4 linked regions of the Rattus norvegicus genome follow. The protein of the gene in region 3 interacts with the protein of the main gene of each other region in a biochemical or structural test. Links are inferred from orthologs where the notes say so. Each region holds a gene or a part of one and is shown on either strand. Other genes may lie near its edges.

Evidence for each region.
Region 1: the proteins of Acvr2a (region 3) and Synj2bp form a complex in vitro, tested with the Homo sapiens proteins (2 studies listed by BioGRID and IntAct, with this or other methods). The link is inferred for Rattus norvegicus from reciprocal best matches to the Homo sapiens genes ACVR2A and SYNJ2BP.
Region 2: the proteins of Acvr2a (region 3) and Bmp2 form a complex in vitro, tested with the Homo sapiens proteins (3 studies listed by BioGRID and IntAct, with this or other methods). The link is inferred for Rattus norvegicus from reciprocal best matches to the Homo sapiens genes ACVR2A and BMP2.
Region 4: the proteins of Acvr2a (region 3) and Gdf2 form a complex in vitro, tested with the Homo sapiens proteins (2 studies listed by BioGRID). The link is inferred for Rattus norvegicus from reciprocal best matches to the Homo sapiens genes ACVR2A and GDF2.

The regions. Positions count from the first base shown.
Region 1 is NC_086024.1:106,923,912-106,928,378, reverse strand, and holds part of Synj2bp (synaptojanin-2-binding protein), read left to right. Parts: intron 1-326; coding exon 327-422; intron 423-1,979; coding exon 1,980-2,120; 3' UTR 2,121-4,467. UniProt on the Homo sapiens protein: Regulates endocytosis of activin type 2 receptor kinases through the Ral/RALBP1-dependent pathway and may be involved in suppression of activin-induced signal transduction.
Region 2 is NC_086021.1:141,263,681-141,268,795, forward strand, and holds the start of Bmp2 (bone morphogenetic protein 2 precursor), read left to right. Parts: upstream 1-1,843; 5' UTR 1,844-2,087; intron 2,088-3,139; 5' UTR 3,140-3,146; coding exon 3,147-3,489; intron 3,490-5,115. UniProt on the Homo sapiens protein: Growth factor of the TGF-beta superfamily that plays essential roles in many developmental processes, including cardiogenesis, neurogenesis, and osteogenesis. Induces cartilage and bone formation.
Region 3 is NC_086021.1:53,612,703-53,617,941, forward strand, and holds the start of Acvr2a (activin receptor type-2A precursor), read left to right. Parts: upstream 1-2,083; 5' UTR 2,084-2,097; coding exon 2,098-2,152; intron 2,153-5,239. UniProt on the Homo sapiens protein: On ligand binding, forms a receptor complex consisting of two type II and two type I transmembrane serine/threonine kinases.
Region 4 is NC_086034.1:9,259,964-9,265,171, forward strand, and holds the start of Gdf2 (growth/differentiation factor 2 precursor), read left to right. Parts: upstream 1-1,715; 5' UTR 1,716-1,832; coding exon 1,833-2,175; intron 2,176-5,208. UniProt on the Homo sapiens protein: Potent circulating inhibitor of angiogenesis. Signals through the type I activin receptor ACVRL1 but not other Alks. Signaling through SMAD1 in endothelial cells requires TGF-beta coreceptor endoglin/ENG.

The sequences.
Region 1 (4,467 bases), on a different chromosome or scaffold from region 3:
TCACCGGTGATTGGCAGGTACAGCAACTGGAGCCAGTGCAGTCAAACAAGATGAGCACAGAAGTTAAGAAAGAGGAGAAACAAATCTGTTAAAGCCAGGATTCACTTTAGATGATCCATGGATTCTCGGTTGTTGGAAACCTAACTTTGAAAATGAAGAAACTTTCTCTTGCATGCTCAGTAACTAAGCCCATATTCCTAGACCTTGGAATTTGACCTGAAAGAGTCCGATCTTATTTTTAAGGGATTGGTTCACTGCATGAAAGTAAGTTGTTCACTTGAGAGACTGAATTTTCCTTTCTAACTTCTCTCTCTTGCTATTGACAGGTAAATGGCCAAGACCTGAAGAACCTGTTGCACCAAGATGCCGTAGACCTCTTCCGTAATGCAGGATATGCCGTGTCCCTGAGAGTGCAGCACAGGGTACGTATCCCTTGCACCTGGATAAGGGACAGTAGGCTTTTGTACTGTACTTGGGAATAAACTTGTAATCTTCAAAGTCTGTTTTGCTTTGTCTTTTGCTGGGATTGCCTTTGTCTAGCGTAGGCAGGAGTTCTTTGTTATTTCTGCCTATCAGTAAAACCAGCGTGTAACCCAGGTCCTACCTTTAGTGGATTAAAGTTTATAAGTGAAAATGGAAGGAAAGTAGAATTACTTGGTAAGAGGCCGAAGATGATTGAAAGGAGCTAGTAAAAAAAAACTGGAGAAAGCGGTGCCAGTTTGAACTACATGTTGAGACTCTAAAAGAAAACTCAAACTATATAAAAAAAAACAAAAACAAAAAAACCCAAACCCAAAAGGACATAAGTTATATCTAAGCAAGCGGCCAGAGTTGCAAGCAGAACGTGGTTGTGTTGAACTCAGAGGCAGGTAGATAAAAGACAGTACAGTATTGGTTAGTGTCTGCCTTTGCAGGGGCTCCTCTGGTTCTAAAGCATGGAGAATTTATGTGGGCATATATTTCAGATATGATCAGGGTTCCTTTTGAAGATGTGCATTCACTTTAGAAACAGCCTCAAATAACTTAAAATACAACAGGCAGTATTGGTCAAAAAGCTCATCTAATCCTGAAAAACCATGTCTTTCCAGTAAGCATGGCTGTTCAGGACTTGTCATCAGTGATAAGGGATAGGACAGCAGTTCTAGAAGACAGTTTGTGTACTTGCTTCTCAGTGGAAGGGATTCGGGTTCTGTGGGCTGGATGTAATGAGGTTAAATCTAACTGGAAGAAGATGGCATTGTAGTGATTTCAAGTTAACCATCAAAAATTGATTTAAGAGGGTCCACCCTGTAAAACAGAGTTGGAATGAAGAAAGACAATGCAAGTATAAAAAGAAATACTTGGGGGATAGAAATTGAGAATGACTAGGATGTGGTTTCTTTATCTCTTAAGTCTTTAATGTCTCCTCCTGTAGATTTCACCTTTATCTGTACCTAGCATTGCAAACTTGGGCATGGAGGACAATACCCCATCTTAGGAGCGAGAGGCTAACTTAGAAGCTTTCCCAGTAATGACATTGGAACTGTGTTGACAGAATTTGGATCTGCTCTTATTGTATTAAAATGACTGATATTCTTTGTAAGTAAATGTTTCCAGAAAGAAAGCTGCTTCCTTCCTCTCCCTTTTCCTGCTCTGCAATATCCAAACTTCCTGAAGGGCCATCATTTTCATCTCACCCCTTCACTTTCCTGTTAAGAATCATATATAAGAAGGTAGAGACATTATAGAAACAGGAATTATCTACTCTACTCTGTGAGGTCCCATTAAGCCAGTAGTAAACTAAAGTCAAATGCTTCCCTATCGGAAAGTCTGTGAGTGATGCATCAGGTAGGACAGTAGTTCATTTCTTTTGGTGGAAAGTGTGTGGATTTTATAGCTTTGGGTGGTATAGATTACATCTCCAGGTAATTGTCAACTTGGATCTTTTAGCTGTGGCACATACAGTAGTCAGAGAGTTAATATTCCCCCTTCCCTTTCAGTTACCAGTGCAGAATGGACCTATAGTTCATCGAGGCGACGGAGAGCCGAGTGGAGTTCCTGTAGCTGTGGTGCTGCTGCCAGTGTTTGCCCTTACCCTGGTAGCAGTTTGGGCCTTCGTGAGATACCGAAAGCAGCTCTGAGATGCCTGTTGTCTTCCAGTGTGTCCGATGAGCTAACTATCTCTCTCACTCACCATCTCGACATCCTCCCCTAGTCTTCCTTCCCACATAGCCAACACATGATTTAAAGTGACTGCTTATCACCCGAAACCTTGCTGTTCAAAATCTCCAAGACTTCACATTCTAATGGAAGAGTAAAGAGATTATTTGAAGAAAGCTGGGGGTGGGGAGAGCCTTGCTTAGAATAAATGAGAAGTTACATATTTTACTAGAACTGCCAATAAAAATTCAGCTATCAGCCAAAGAGGAGAAGCTTGCTCTTCCTGTCTCCATGGACGACACCTTTTGCTTAGCTGGTGTGCTTTGAAGGCTAGCTGTGCTATGTGAAAGGAGGAGCTGATTTTTTAAATACTTTTTCTTGGGAAGTATTTGTGGCCTTTAATTTGTAACTATATACTTAGATGCCTATATTGGACATAGGCGAATGAATTTTTTTCTTTTCTTAGAAAAGAAAATACATATATACACTAACACACACACACACACACACACACACAGCATAAAACTGATGCCTTATGGAGAGTTAAAGAGGTGAGAAAACTACTGGTTCTTGGATTTCTAGTGGACAAGTTTTGGGAACTAGGGGGTCATATTCCTTTATATATAATCAAAACTCATATTAAAGAATGAGTTCTGGATTGTAAAGAGAACTTACTTTTTCCACTTGTCTGTAAGTCTTTGTCCACAAGTTAAAAACATACACAGTCCTAAGGGCTGATCATAACTGAAACACTTCAAAAATTATTGGCAGAGAAGGTATAACGGGGATGGAAAAGTTAGCTTTAAAAGAGAATGCTCAGTCAGTGGCATTAGGAAAATAATGACTGAAGCAATTAGTTGAAAACTGTAGAACAACTAGTGTTCCAGGGTAGCTACAGTGATGTGGGAAATTGTGGCAAAGCAGTTCTTCTCAAGTCAATTTGTTTAAAAGACTTTGGGGTGTAAAGATGAGTCCTGACAGTCTCTGAATGACCTTAGTGACTGTTGTACTATGTGAAAGGATCCATTGGCATGGAGATGAGAAGTAGGAGGGCCAAATAAACCATCAAGACAACTGAAAAAAGATCATACCTCAGGGTGGCACTTGAACCCTCAAAGTGCTCACCAACTTTCAGTTTCTAGTATCAGGCAAAGCCTAAGGGAAGGGACTGCTTTCCTGGCAGGGTGGACCCCAAATCAGCCTGCTTCTGATAGAGTTACGATGAGAAGGCCCAAATTGATGTAGGCTTTCTTTTTGTGTATTTTTCCCAAAGCTATAAGCACTAGTTTTGGTTTTAATAAGGTAATGGACCATTTTTTCAGAAAAAGGGGAAGGAATAAGGTTTGTTTGTTTATAGAGGGTGCAAGGAAGTTTAGTGAGCATTTCTGAGGAAAGCCTGAGCACACAGAGTAGATTAACTATGCCAGAGAATAGCCAGGGATATTGGGGGGTGGGGGGTAGTGGAGCTGTCCTGTTTATGTAGCATCAAAGTTGGTTTTAGAGTACTGAGGATAGTTGAACCAAGCCTAATTTTTTTTTTCACTTTAACAAAATAATTTCCGTCTTTTCAATAAATTGGCCAGACTATTTTGACCTAAGATTATAAAGAGTTTTCCTGACAACCTAGCAGTCACTTAACAGATGTCGATTGCACATTAGTTTTGTCAAGACACCTTTATAACAAAGGGAAATGCACACACTTCATCCAAAAGGACATTGTGGTTACAGTTAGGAAGAAAACACTTAAGATGGAATTATCCATGTAAGTGTAAGTTGTTTATATTACAGACAACAAAAGAAAATAGCTCCCAAGCTTTGAGCACTGAAGATCTCAGAGGAAGGACTCCTTAGGTGCCAATCGTCTAGCAAGCATGCATACATAGGGGACAAGTTAAGAGTCTTACCGGGTTGAGTAAGAAAAGGAAACTATTGCCATGCGAGACAGAGCACGATGCAGCAATGTGGAGGATGAGCAGACAGCTAGCATGTTGTAAGGAGCTCAGAACGGGAGAGCCTTCCTGCAGTGGCATCGGGGGAGAATGCAAAGGAAAGTCTTGAACAGTCCAGTGAGCCTTTGCCTCTGGATAAACTGTTGATACAGGGAGACATTTGCTTTAAACAGTCTTCACATAACCAAGCCATTCAGTACTTCTTGAAACTGACTTCATAACAGGAGTCATTGTAAGTTCCACAGAAAGCAAGACGTATGTATTTCAGTTCTTGTCTTGACCAGCAGCACTCCGGAGGCCCAGTGTCCGGTGCCCTCCTTGTATCTGAAGCAGGGGTAACAGCTCTGCTGTGGGCCTGTTTCCCTCTAGTATTTACCTC
Region 2 (5,115 bases), about 88 Mb from region 3:
GGGAGAAGTGGAAAGAGTTCAAAACGAATCCTGGATCAGCAGCTTTGGGGACATTCCAGCTGAGGAAGAAAAGTGGCTTAGCCACAGTCAGAGTCTTGCTTCTGGAGACCTAGTGGAGAGGGCCAGACAGAAAATTCAAAAGTCTCAAACCAGAAATGTCTTGTTACCTGCCTCTGGTGTAGGTGGGTGGGGGAGGGGAGATAAATAGCCCAAGTATGGAAGTGATTGTTTCTATAAAGAGAACTTCTATTAACTCCCATTGTCCCCTCACATGGACAGACAGACAGACACACACACACACACACACACACACAAACACTAGAGGGGACATCCACTTTACATGTGTATATCTATGTACAGAACCTGTACCCTCATTTTTATAATTTACATAAATGAATACATATATGTATATACATCTTTTATTAGATTCATTTATTTGACTATATATGCACATGGGCGCATATAAATGTATGAATATTTATAAAATGTAATAATACACTCGAATGTGTATTGGCTATTTCTTGACATTTTCTTCTCACCATTCAAAACAGAGAAGCGTTTGCTCACATCTTTGCCAACATGTCTGATAACTTCTAGGTTCTTCTTTTTAATGTGATCTTACCTAAAAACTTCAAACTCAAGTTGAATATTGGCCCAGTGGGGGAACTCAGAGGCAAGCCTACCCTGAATTTGCCCTAAACTCGGGCATCTGGGGCACGAATCCTGGTCCCGGGGGTCTGCTTTACACTCAGCCGGGACGCGACCCCTTAGCGGCCGCGCGCTCGCCCCGCCCCGCCCCGCCGCGGCCGCCCCTCAGGGCGCGCCGTCCACACCCCTGCGCGCTGCTCCCGCCCGCCCGGGGATCCCCAGCGCGCTGCGCCTCCGAGGGGGAGGTGTTCGGCCACGGCCGGGAGGGAGCCGGCAGGCGGCGTCTCCTTTAAAAGCCGCGAGCGCCGCGCCACGGCGCCTCCGTCGTCGCCGCCGGAGTCCTCGCCCTGCCGCGCAGAGCCCGGCTCGCACTGCGCCCGCCGCTGCGCTTCCCACAGCCCGCCCGGGATTGGCAGCTCGGGACGAAGCCTCCCTAGCCCACACCGGCCATCGGACGCCCTCAGGGCGAGCGACGCGAGGGTCACCCGGGGCTTCGAGGGGCCGGCACGACACCGGTTGGAGCTGCGAACTGTGCGCGCCCGGCTCTGTGGCCTCAGCTGTCCGGGAGAAGCCAGAGTCGCGGACCGACGCTAAGAGCCGGGAGTCCGGAGCACAGTCTTACCCTCAACGCTGGGCTACTCCGACACGAGAGTGAGCGCCCGAGGCGAGCAGGAAGAGTGATCGGACCCCAGGCTGCCACAAAAGACACTTGGCCCGAGGGCTCGGAGCGTGAGGTCACCCGGTTTGGCAGCCGGGGACGCGCGGCTGGACTGTCTCGAGAATGAGCCCCAGGACGCCGGGACGCCGCAGCCGTGCGGGTTCCGCTGGCGAGCGCTGATGGGGGTGCGCCAGAGTCAGGCTGAGGGATGCGGAGTGGCGGCCCGCCCGCCACCCAGATCTTCGCTGCGCCCTTGCCGGGACCCGGCGTCGCCCACGATGGCTGCCCCGAGCCATGGGTCGCGGCCCAGCTAACGCAGAACGTCCGACCCTCGCCCGGCGAGTCCCGGAGCCGGCCCCGCGCCCCGCCAGCGCTGGTCCCTGAGGAAGACGACAGCAGCAGCCTTGCCTCAGCCTTCCCTCCCCGTCCCTGCCCCGCACTCCTCCCCCTGCTTGAGGCTGTGTGTCAGCACTTGGCTGGAGACTTCTTGAACTTGTCGGGAGAGTGACTTGGGCTCCCCACTTCGCGCCGGTGTCCTCGCCCGGCGGATCCAGTCTTGCCGCCGCCTCCAGCCCGGTCACCTCTCTGTTCCTTGGCCGGCTGGGCCCACCCCAAGACACGGTTCCCTTCGGGGAGAACACCCGGAGAAGGAGGAGGTGAAGAAAGGCAACAGAAGCCCAGTCGCTGCTCCAGGTCCCTCGGACAGAGCTTTTTCCATGTGGAGACTCTCTCAATGGACGTGCCCCCTAGTGCTTCTTAGACGGACTGCGGTCTCCTAAAGGTAGAGGACACGGGCCCGGACCCAGGGCTGGCGGGTGACACCGCTTCCCGCCCGGCGGCGCTGGGCGCCTCGGAGGACCGGTGGAGTGGACGTAAACATACCCTCTCCCGGTGCACGTGCAGCGAGCGGATCCCTAGAGGGGTCAGGCACTCTGAACCCCAGATCCCTCTGTCTTGCCCACCTGGTCTGCGACCTCCTTTCAGCCCGTTCCTCCTCCCCAGTTTTAAATACATTATCAGGGCTGTTTTGGGCTTTACCCCCTCCTCCGCCCCCAAATTGCAGAAATCCATTTAGAGAGTATGGCCGGTGGATTTCACTAGTTCATTGCCCACCAGCACTCCAAGCCTTAGAGATCCTTCGCTATCCTTAAGAACTAGGTCCCATTTAGGAAGCTACTAAAAGTCGGGGTTCTTTTTGTGTGTGTTTACTGACTGTGCGGATGTGTCACAGCTTACACGTGCATTTATAGACACTATCTATTTAGGTCATTGCAGAAAGGTGCATGGATTTCTTGACTGCACAGGGGTCTGGAGAAGGGGACAGAGTGGCCTGTGGGTCAACCTTGAAGTTAGGGGCGTAGGCCACGACTTGCAAGTGGCGTCATTAGTATTAATCTTTAGTTTACCGCTTTCTGAATCTACAATCTACCAGGAAGTTCTATACGGCGCCTCTAAGGAAGTCACTTGTGCATTTGTGTCTGTTTATGTGCAAATGAACGCTGTGCAGTATAGTTGTAAGGGATGCAGTGTCCGAACAATCTATGGGTTCCCAGCTTCCTGACACAGGCTTTACTAGCTAGTGTCACAAGAAAAGGTGACAGACAGTCATTGATTTTTCTTTTTTAAATTGGGAGTTAAGACCAAGCCCCAAGTGAGAAGTCCGGCTGGGACTTAGGGGTTCTTCATCCTCTTGATCATCCAGGCTGTAGCTTGGATGACATGCCAGGAGGGCATCCTGGAGAAGGCCAGCGAGCCCTGTGGGAGCCGGGGCCGCGGGGGCGGGCGGAGGACTGGGCGGGGAACGTGGGTGACTCACGTCGGCCCTGTCCGCAGGTCGACCATGGTGGCCGGGACCCGCTGTCTTCTAGTGTTGCTGCTTCCCCAGGTCCTCCTGGGCGGCGCGGCCGGCCTCATTCCGGAGCTGGGCCGCAAGAAGTTCGCCGGGGCATCCGGCCGCCCCTTGTCCCGGCCTTCGGACGACGTCCTCAGCGAGTTTGAGTTGAGGCTGCTCAGCATGTTTGGCCTGAAGCAGAGACCCACCCCCAGCAAGGACGTCGTGGTGCCCCCCTATATGCTCGACCTGTACCGCCGGCACTCGGGCCAGCCAGGAGCGCCCGCCCCAGACCACCGGCTGGAGAGGGCAGCCAGCCGCGCCAACACCGTGCGCAGCTTCCATCACGAAGGTGAGCGGGCGGCGGGTGGCGGGGCGGGGACAGCGGGCGGAGACTCAGTGGGCAGCCCGGGCCTCCGCTAGCACAGTGGACGGTCCTTCGGCTTCTGTACCGTCCCCTCTGTGGCCCCGAGCCAGGGATTCCCCACTGGTGAGTCCGCACCCTTTTCCTGGCAGGTGGCCAGCAGACAGACTCCTCCCCACTAGAACTGGAGGGAAATCGAGTGATGGGGAAGAGGGTGAGAGACTGGCTAGCCCCTTGTCAGCTCATTGTGGGAGAATTTCACAGAAGGCAGGGAGTTGGGGCTCCTTAAATCTGTGTGGAAGCTCAGATCTGTGGCTTGTGTTCAGGCTGGAGTTTTAAGCTAGGCAGAGGTAGTATTAACAAATCAAATCCAGGGCCCCAAAGCATTCAAATTTGCTGTTCATCTGGGCCTCGTTTGAAAGATTTTTGAATCCCTATCTAATCCCCGTGGGAGATCAATTCCACAATCCATCATACTGTTTCCCCAATGACCTTCCTTTCTCCTGCTTAACTCTTAAGTCTCCAAGTGGAGACAGGTCAAGCCTTCAGATAAAAGCATTTTCTCCCACTGCCTGCTACCTTCCTAGACAAGGTAATGGAATTTTTAAAAAAATACGATATGAGTATGGTTTCCCAAGGTAGAGTAATGTTTATTTCTTCGGAAGGAGATTTAGTGGGTAAGACATGCTGTAGAGGCCTATTGAAGTCTCTTGTGCCAATGTCCTTATAGCAGTTAGTAAAAATAATAATAATAATAATAATAATAATAATAATAATAATAATAATAATCGTGCCTCAGTTCAATTCCGTGTGTGTCACTTTAAATGTGCTTTTGGTTTAATGCAATCTCAATAGGATATCAGTTCCTTCAAGTTCTAGAAGAATTCAGAGTTGTCTGTCAGTGAGCTGCAATTTATAGAACAATGGGGAGCTAGGAGAGAAGTTCCCTTTTTAAAGCTTCGCTTTGCCTTTCTTGAGAGGATACATTTTAAGTAGAAATCTATGCTCTGAAATGGCAGCCCAACCCCCATCCCCAATAAGGGATGACTCAAACTTTGAGAAGTCTGGTTGATAATAGGAAAAAGAGCCACCGGCAGGTCACATAGCAAGGGGTGTATCTTCCTTGAGGCAGCCAATGGTTATGAAGGGCACTAGAAACTGGTGTCTAAGGTTTTCTGGGGACAACGTTCAGTATTGAAAGATAGTGAGACCTTATTCTGCTCCTTAGGGTCTGCTTGCTGAGAGAGGGAGATTCCAGAATGTACACCCCCAGCCCCCGTCCCCAGGGCTAAGCTAATCTTTCTGGGTTAATATTTATTGGAAAATGTTTTGTAGATCAAAACAAACAAACAAAACCACTAGCCAGCACAGCTGTTTTTCCCACTGCCTTTGGAGATAGAGCAGGAAAACAATTTATTCGTGTATTTGTTTATTTATTAGTATTTTCTAATGTGAAAAAAATTATTCTTTACCTGTAAAAAAAAATGAACGAGTTATTTTATCTTTATCTTAACTAAGCTAAAAGCATCATTTAAGTCAACTAAAACTCAAAAATCCAATTGAATGTAAGGTTTGTCAATAAAATCTACATATTCTCAGTCTTCATTTGGAAGT
Region 3 (5,239 bases):
AAAGTAAACACATTCTTCTATTTTAGGGCTGTTAGTGGCAACTCTTAGTCTCTGTCCAGCTCAAAACGTTTGCAGAACTACATTCGATTACTGAGGCATCTTGAAGACCAGTTTGGGATTTTGTTGCATAATAGCATCAAATTCAGAGCAGGGCTTGAGAACTGGAAATCTTGGAGAGAGTTTAAAGAGCCACAATGATTATTAACCCTGACAAGTAGTAGAAATAGGCAGATAATTATAGGATGTACTTAATAGACAGAAATATAGAGCAGTTTATAGGAAGAGAAAAAGAAAACATAAATACAAGTGAGTTTGTGGAAAAATGTGGGAATCAGTGTACACTAAAACATTAATTACCCATCCCACAGTTGCTTCCTTTTTTTTATTAAAAAAAAAAAATCTCCAAACACTGTATAGTAGATAGAGGTTATTGTGTTAAGATAAAAAGGTAAACCTCTAGATATTTACGTTTCTACTGAGGAAGCATTCCTGTCAAAACCTTCAGTGCTGGAGTAAAGTGGGAAAAAAAAAGACAATATCTCCCTCTTTATTATGCTGAATTGTGGTAAATGGCAAACGTACTGGCTCTAGCAATCATTCTCTGCACGCTCTAGTTAACTTCTAATATCCCAAATAGCCGAGCTTCTGGAGGTAGGGGTCACATTTTTACATTTTGTATTTGTTTCGGTGCTTAACTGAACACCCGGGAAACAGTTCAACATGGCTTACGGGGTAAAATAGGTCTTACAAGAGGCATAGAATTGATAATACCAACGTCTCTGACTGTCCAATACATTGAAATCTGCAGTTTTCACTTCAAGCTTAATACAGACTTTTCTCGCTAACTAGGAGCAAACCTGTTTGCAACACAATGCTTTGTGTATACAAGGTATGGTGGAAAGGATCCGAACCGCACAACCAGCTAACCGGCGAGGGTGTTCTGACCTGGCGGACAGCCCTTCCTGCCTTTATTTTTTAGCCCAAAGACAAACGCTGGGAGGCCTCCGCGGCGGGGGCGCGGCCGGCTCGCGAGCACCGAGCTCGCTCGGGCAGCAGCGGGTGCGGCTCCCGCCCACTCCGATCAGCTCGGCGCGGCCTCGGCGTCCCCCAGAGGAAAGGCTGGGCGCCGCAGTCGGCCTTGGCATCGCCCATCCCGCTCGGGCGCCGCGGATCTCGCGCCCGGGCGGGCACCGCACTGGGCACTCCAGGGGTCTCGAGACCGTAGCAGGCACCCGCAGGGCCCGCCGTCCCGTCAGCTCGGTCTTGGGTCCCGCAGGCCTCGCAGAGCGCGCTCCAGCCCCGGCCCCGCCCCTCCGGCTCGCCCCGCCTCCCGGGCAATCTCCTCGCGCTCGCCGCCCGGCACGCGCGCTGCGCCCTGCCGCCGCTCCCGCCGCCGCCGCCACCGCCGCCGCGGAGCGTTCTCCGCCGCGCCTGGCTTCCAGCTTCGGGCCGGAACCGGAAGTGTAGGGGGCGGGGCCGGCGGAGGCCAGGAGACCGAAAACGCGGCCGAGCCGGGAGCCGGGAGCCGGAGCCACAGCCTGGACCAGAACTTGGCCGCCTCCTGCGCAGCAGTCTCCGGTGGCCGTCTTCCGTCGCCGCCTCGCACCGCCACCGCCGCAAGCTCGGCTACCGTGGTCCGCGGACTTTGGGTGTCCGGGTTGAAGGTCGGTCCGGACGTCGGAGCAGCTCGGCTCCCGGACCGTCCGGGCGGCTGCGGGCGCCGCCGCCGCCGCCGCCTCGTCGCCTCAGTCAGGCGTTTTGTTCACTGAGACGCGAGAGGCGAGCGGAGCTGACAGTGATTTTGACAGTGATTCCAACCCGCTTTTGTTGTTGTTGGCTTTTCGTTGTTTGGTTTTGTGTGTTGTGCGTGTATGTGGCGGTTTTTCCCCCGTGGTACAATTTTTTAAATTGTTGTGCCTTTTTCCCCCCTTTTTTCGACCCTGTGAACGTTTTTGCTCCCCCCTCCCCCCCGCCTCGGGGCTTCCGAATATGTTTTATGACGGTTGATTTTACACCAGGAGGTTTGTCTCCGAGGAAGACCCAGGGAACTGGATATCTAGCGAGAACTTCCTACGGCTTCTCCGGCGCCTCGGGAAAATGGGAGCTGCTGCAAAGTTGGCGTTCGCCGTCTTTCTTATCTCTTGCTCTTCAGGTAGGTGGAGGAGCCGGCGCGGCGGGGCTGTGGCCGGCTGCTGTCGGCTGGGCAGTTCTGGGGCCGAGGCTTTTCCCGCGCCCAACCCCGCAGCCCTGACAATCTGGAAATCTCCACGAATTCCACTTGTTTTGGGTTGGTTTGGCGAACTGATAGGTTGAGTGCCGTGTTGTTGTGCAAGTGAGAAAGTCATGGTTTGTGGCCATAACACTCGATGACAGCGCTGGTTGGGTTGCTGTGAAGCCGCAAATACCACAAGTGAAAATTTATGTAAAGGTTTGAGACCCAGAAGGAGGTATTCCGAAATGTCATTTAGCCTAAGCTGTTCCAAAACAAGGACCGGTTTTGGTCGTCATCTAATTAGTGCTTCACCGGTGAATATCGAGACATAGATCAAGTGGGCTGGTGTTTAATTTTGACTGTGAGAAACAATGCATCCTATCTGCGATTTAATCTAGGTCTTCTCTCACGTTTTCTCCAACTTCATTGTCCAGTAGTGTTAAAAATAGTTTTAGTTGCCGAGTATTAACCATAACCCAGTGCAGGAGAGGTATGCTGGTGTGTGTTGGTGGTGTGTGTTGGCTTTCACCCACCATTTGTGTGCTCTTTTCAGGCGTAGATTCTGCTTACCTACGGAATACTTCTTTTAAATGCTTTGTACTGACACATTGTTTTCAGTTTAGAACAGGGCATGTGAAATTGTGCTCATGTTAAATGTGCTATTCTTGTGAGATGTTTTTTAGCTCAAGGTTAGGAGAATACTCTGGCCATTTTATATCCGAAAATTATGATTATATGAAGATGTTGTATGGTTGCAACCAGTGGTTGGAAAAACTAGGCTTTTGTACTTGAATTTCTGGAAATGCATACATCTAGCTGAAAGGTGTGCAAACGCACTTAACAGGAGAGTTAGTTCGAGGGATGAAACAGTTTAAAAGTCACAGTGAATACATTCATTATAAAAATTCAGTGGATACTTCCTAGGTTGTGGCAAAGAAGAGGGGTGGGGGACGAATTGACAGGTTTCATGGCTGTGTCGTTCCCTCGTATGTCACAGGGAAATTAGAAGGTGGTAGTCTTTTCTTTGTGTACCTCTCTCTGTTGTGTGTGTGTGTGTCCGTCCATCTTCCCCACCCCACCCCCCTTTTAATAGAATCTTTTGTAATGTATAGAATTTTGCTGAATGGTACATTTCCTTGTGGTTAATAAATGGATAAAGTCTAGTCTTATGTCTGTAGTGGTATTGATCAGTTCCGGGTGGGCTGAATGTGTTGTGAAATGGCGATCATTGCCAGAGATTAACCAAAAGAATCATGTCTGTTTAAATGGAAGAAGGAACATGCTTAAGGCAGGCGGACAGTTCTTTTTGTGCTTGGTTTAGAAAGCCAGCTAAACAATGGTGTCTGAAATGAATGAAAGCTTTGATAATGTTAAATATCTTGCTTTTCGGAACTGACTTAACCGTGTAGTTTTTCCCCTCATATTGCTTCCCCCCCGACCCGATATATCTTGCTGGTAAACTCCTGTTTAGGTCTCCGTTCAGGTTTCCTTTTTTTCTCATCTGCCCTTGAGGAGGAGGGGCATCATGGCCACTGACCAAGGACTGGACATTATTCTTTCTCAAACCCACCTGAGTCTCATTAATTGATGAGGGAGGTTATTCTTGAGCAGCCCCAAGGTATCACTCCTGGAAAAGCAAGCTGACACTACAGATCTTACAGCTTCCTCTGCTTGGTTTGGGAGTAAAAGGAACTGAGCAGTAGTTCCCTTTATGATTATGATCCCTGGGCTCCTAGGTTGATAGCAAAAATTTTGAGGTAGAGAAGTTCTGCTGTTGTAGAACATAGAGATAATTCATTAAAATAATTTGAAAAGCTTTAATCCATATTGATACATGAAGGTGTTTTTGTGCTTAAAATGTCTTAATTTTTTTTTTTTAAGGACTTCGTTAGGGATTAAATGCACTCTTAAAAGCCCTCCTTCCCCCGTGTGTGTGTGTGTGTGTGTGTGTGTGTGTGGTGTCTTCTAATTGATTTTTCTGTGTAATGTGTAATCTGGCACTGGAAGCAGAGGGTGGCTATTTTTATTAGAATTAAGTAATTTACTAAATTACCAGTTTGTTTCTGGGTATCTGACTTAGAAAAATCAAATGGGAAACAGTAGTAAGGAATGTGTTTATTCAAGGTGTTCAGGAAGGAGGCATGGTTGCTGGCTTTTAAATGTTTTTAGTCTTTGGCTTTTTCAGCTTCCATCCCATGGTGTGTGCTGTGGAGACTGATTATGCAGACTATTCCTGTAGGATATGGCCAAGTGTATAATTTCCTCCTTGCTCTCATTCCAGGAGAAACATTTTAAGTTTTGCCCTCATCCTGGAGTGCTTTCAGATTCCCTATGATTTTTAATTTTTATTCCTCTTTATCCTTCTTCAGAGTCTGTTTCAAAACACAGATCTGCTTTTTACTGTTTGAAGCATCATGGCTAATTTTTGTGTTTTCTCACAATTTGTAAAAATGTGAGGATGAATTTAACATTGCCCAGTACTGACATTTATCTCACCTAGGTACTATAGCTCCTATGCTATTTGAGTGGCTGTGAAGTTGAAGATTCTTTTGGATTGTGTATGAACTGGTAACAGTGTGGTCAGTATATTCATGAAAGAAGAGCAGAAATACAGTAGTTGATAGCTAGGCATCACTGTGTAGTTGGAGTGAGAGCTGATAGAACAGTCTTCTAGGACTTCTGAATGTTGGCTAGCAAGTGATATTTAGTAATGCTTTTTCTTTTGTCTATTTTTTTTTTAAAGAAGAGACTTATTCTTACTTGTCTTAATTATTTGTAGGTGTGTGTCTGCTTGTGGGTGGGCATGTGCATGTAAATGCATGAAGGACAGAGGTGTTAGATCCTCTGGAATTAGTCTTATGGAGGTGCTGGGAACTGAGCTCTGGCCCTCTAGAAGATCAGCAAATATTCTTGCTTGCCAAACTGCGTCTCCAGCCCAGTGCTTTGTTTCTTAAAGGTAGAAATCTCTTACATGTATGCTGTTAAATCCCAGTATACTATGCCGAAACATACAGACTAGATAAAAAA
Region 4 (5,208 bases), on a different chromosome or scaffold from region 3:
CAAGCACAGAATATCACACTCCATCTTCCTCGGAGTAGGCTGCCACAATCCCAAACATTTTTAACTGTCTTCTTTCTTCACTTTGACTAACACTACTTGTGATGGAAATAGATGGGGGCCAAGCACAGGGACACGGCTTTTAAACGTTGTCTTTGGACTAACTCAAGCAGCCTTCACAGGCTAGAAGCCATCTCTGGGCATGAGATCAGTCTCAGAGCTGCCCAACTGCTCCTGTGAGTCCTAACCTCTCTGTGGGTCTCCTGACTGAGAACTCTGGTCCAGATGGCCTCCCTGCTGACATGAATCAAGTCATCCTCTGAATACCACACATACACACACACACACACACACACACACACACACACAAAACACACTTACAGACATACATACATTCTCTCACACACACACTCACACACACACTCACACACACACTCACACACACATACACATATGCACACACACACACTCACATACACACACTCACACACACATACACACACACATACACACGTACACATACGCACACATACACACTCACACACACATACACACACATACACATACGCACACACACTCACACACATACACACATACACACTCACACACATACACACACATATACACACACTCACACACACATACACATACACACATACACATACTCACACACACTCACACACACACATACACACACATACACATACACACACACACACTCACACACATACACATACGCGCACACACACTCACATTCACACACACATACACACATACACACTCACACACATACACATATACACACACTCACATACACACACATACACATACTCACACACACTCACACACACTCACACACATACTCACACACACACTCACACACACACTCACACACACATACACACTTCTACACTTGTATACTTGCATGCACCAGCACCATACAGAGCAGGGTCAGGGATGGAGCTCAGAGCCTCAGATACATGTGTTTGTGGGACTAATGAGCAGCCAGCTTCCTCCCCCAGCACAGTCAGAGCCAGCACTGGAGGGTGGCTTGAACATGACCACCCACTGTCAGGAGCTGGAAGTGGCCTACATGTAGGCAAACGCATCTTCTAAAAGGAAGCTCAAAGGGCCCAGGCCACAGCGTGGAGGAACAGTGGGAACAGGAGCTATCATCTGTTTTGCCTGTCCACAGAATGCCCTGGGCCCGTCCACACTCCATTCTCAATACTCAGGAGCTCTTCCCTCAGAGGGCAGCGCCCAGATACACTGCCGGGTCCCGTAAGGATACCGTAAGGACCAGACTTCGCCTACCCCTGATGCAATCTCCCACACCTCCCCACCTTCCTGACCCCCACAGCTCGTGTCATCTTCTGGGTACTTGGTGAGCTTTCTATATTTAGGGAACTTCCCAGCCTCATTTTCTGAATTCTTTGTTTCTGTGGTCCAGCAGAGAAGGTCTGTGTACCCTGCCTGGAGTTTTCTGAACCAAGCCAGCAAGGAAATGGACAAAGATCCTAATTAGGGTGGATGACCCTCCGGAGAAATGTCGATCCTTTACAGTAGTCAGGATCCTTCCCACCAGCCCCTGGTGCTTGTCAGATGTTTATACAGCCTTCATTAAAGAGAGCTGCCTTAGATAAGAGGTCTGAGCATAGCATCCACACCCAGATAAGTAGAGTGGGAGATTGTCGGGCTGTTGGGGAGAACTGAGCCAGCCAGGCTCCCTGCTGAGCAGTCAACAGGACAATGTGGGCCTGTTCCTCCTGGGCTCCCCATTGCACCTAGTGATACAACACAACGGCCTGCAGGGCAGTCCCCCTTTAGGGCCCAAGATGTCCCCTGGGGCCTTCCGGGTGGTCCTGCTCACGCTGCTCCTGCTGGTCTGTCCCACGCAGCAGAAGCCGCTGCAGAGCTGGGGGCAGGCATCCCCTGGGGGAAATGCCCGCAGCTCCCTGGGATTGTCTGGAAGCAGAGAGGAGGGCGTCTTTGACCTGAAGATGTTTCTGGAGAACATGAAAGTGGACTTCCTGCGCAGCCTTAACCTGAGTGGCATTCCCTCTCAGGACAAAACCAGAGCGGAGCCACCCCAGTACATGATCGACTTGTACAACAGATACACTACGGACAAGTCGTCCACGCCTGCCTCCAACATCGTGCGGAGCTTCAGCGTGGAAGGTACAGTGCTTTCCCCGGACTTCCATGGGGTGGGACATAGTGCGCCCTGCCCCCCACAGTGCAGTGGCTCTGCCGGGTGGGATGGCCACTGACCACAAGCGGATCTTCAGGTTTCTATTGAAGTGACCCTTGGTGAAATAGGGAGAAAATACGAGTTTCCTGTTCATCATTCGCGTGTGGCTAATGGCTTCCCCACAAGGCAGTGCGAATCATGGGTCCTGTCCATCAACACTAAAGGGTCCGGTGCACAGCCTGGCTCCTCCCCAGAATCATATCCACGGTTAACCCCGTATCCAGTATACCAGGTTTCTGCGTCCCTCTGTCCACTTCCTCACCTTCTTTTTCTTTCCCTGATTTTTGCTTCAGTCTCCTTCGATCTCCTTCTGTCCTCCCCCACTTCCCCTCCCTCCTCTCTCACGCCTCCTCTTCCCTCTCCTCCCTTTTCTTTCCACTTGACTTCTCTTCCTCTTCCCTTCCTATCTTCCTCTCTCCCTTCCCATCTTCTTCTGACTTAGAAATAGATCCTTCATTTAGCCTTCAATAAACTTGTATTTTTTTTCAGCTTTAAAGGAAAGGGTTCTCTCTTATAAAGTGCACTTTAGACCCAGATTTTAAAAAGTTAATAGAGTAGGACTAGAAGAGGCCCTCATTATGTCCAGGGTGTAATCTTCCTCAGGGCAGTAGGCAGTGTGTCGGTCCAATACGTTTTCCCTGCCAAGTGTCCATGATTTAGGAAGATTAGAAGGCAAACACGGAGGCGAGGTCTATAACTGGCAAGTCACAGAACAACAGAATCTGGGTAGAATGAGTTACTGAACAGAGAGCTAGGGTCACCAAGGCTGAGGAACCCAGGTCAGGCACCCACTGCGAGGTCACGTTGCCGTCCCTACATCCTGCATAAAACCAGCTCCAGTCGCCCCTTCTTCTGTTTGGCATCTTGCTCTGAAGGACCCGGAGCCCAGGTCCTTTCTCTCTTTCTTGTCCAGAGATTTGCAAATGCCCAAGGGTCCCAGTTCAGGGCCACAGCCAGGCCCGGCCAGATCTGTCCAACTTTTCTGGCTGCTCAACAGGAAGTTTCAGAGGAACATGAAACTTCCTGTTTAATGGCTTCGTTAAAAGCATATAGTTTAAGCCACTACCTAAAGACTATACATGGACTGACCCTGGACTCTGACCTCATAGGTAGCAATGAATATCCTAGTAAGAGCACCAGTGGAAGGGGAAGCCCTGGGTCCTGCTAAGACTGAACCCCCAGTGAACTAGACTGTTGGGGGGAGGGCGGCAATGGGGGGAGGGTGGGGAGGGGAACACCCATAAAGAAGGGGAGGGGGAGGGATTAGGGGGCTGTTTGCCCGGAAACCAGGAAAGGGAATAACATTCGAAATGTATATAAGAAATACTCAAGTTAATAAAAAAAAAAAAGCATATAGTTTATAGGTCACCAGGCCCCTGGGTTTGTCTAGGATCTCTACCTAGGGTAAAGGCTGGTTGTTTTTTTTTTTTGTTTGTTTGTTTTGTTTTGTTTTGTTTTTGTTTTGTAATTGGGGACCTAAGTCGTCATATCCCACAGGCCAGAATGTGAGCCCAGCCAGAGATCCCAACCCCCTCCACGTATGTCATTGACGCAATTAACTCCGTGTACTCAGTAGCAGCAACATCAACACCGTTCACGTGTGACCTAGGAAACACTCGCCTAATGCCCGTGGGTGTGTGGTTTCTGGTGTCTGGCAGTGAGTGGTTCCACAGCCACTGTGGAGGTAGCCAGAGTGAGGGCGCCATGCTTTGTCACATGCACTGGGCTTGCACGGGGTTGGAGGGGACAGAAGTGTCATCTAAGCATCAGCTGCTGGCTTGTGAGTGGCCTGCGAGCTTCATGAGCCACCTTGATAAACTGGTGAGAAGGGCCCTGTGGTGCAAGAGAGGAAACGGAGGCAACAAAAGGCTAAAAATTTCCCAAGGATACAAGTCCCCAGTGAGGGACCATCAGGTTGACCCCTCTATTCTCCAGACCAGTCGCTAGATCTCAGTAGCATGGGTCTCTGCTTATCTTTCCCCATGCAATAGACCCATCTGAGAGAGCCTAGGCCTATTTCTGAGGTTCTACTGTGTCTATTAAATGTACATCTAGAAACAAACAGCTCATAATTTCGAAGTCACTTTTGTCACGGGTATATTTTTTTAAACTTCCCATTTTCTTTACTCTCGGTTAAGCTCTGGCTGAGCCTGATTTACACACTTTGCATCAGCACGGGCGTGCGTGCACACAGAAGGAACACGGTGTGCAGGGCTTAGAACTACCTGTACCTCCGGGCATCCAGTGGTTGTATCAGAACACGTCTCCTATGGATAATGCACTGACTGAGAGTGGGCACCGACCCACAAATGGCAATGCTTGTGGTCAAGCTGCAGGCCAGGAGAAGTGAGAAGCAATTATGAGGCTGGGAGAAAACCCCCATCTTTCTGCCTAACGTGACAATGCTGTTGGCATGAAGATACATTTTTGTCTTAAAAATAAAAGCACTTTCGCTTTCGATGGTAGCTATCAACACCATTCCAACGACTTAGATACTCTAATGCTGCATGCAATGTTTCACTTTATCTAAATATTTTTTATTTTGATTTTTAATTAAATATTTGACCTTGGTGGTCCCCAGCCAGCACTGCAGAATCTTTACTCTAATCCTGACAGTGTATTTTCTGGCTTGCCTTAGGTACGGATGCCAATTAGCTGTGTGCGCTCTGACAGTCCCAGAGCTATGCATCCAATGCTGTGGATAACGATCTCCACATGTGTAACGTTGGGATGATATCTAGATGCTCCCAGACTCAGGGTGTAAGGCCAGGCTCAGTAAATGGTAGATACAGTTAACACTGGCTGAAGGTACCTGCCTCTGCTTTTCCTGGGACAATCCTAAGAGAACCCTCTACTATGGTTCTAAATGACACAAAGTGGATCAATAGTGACAAAATCTATCATCTTAGATGTCCCTTGTAGCGAACCATGAAGTTTGGCTTTGGTATCATAAAAATGGA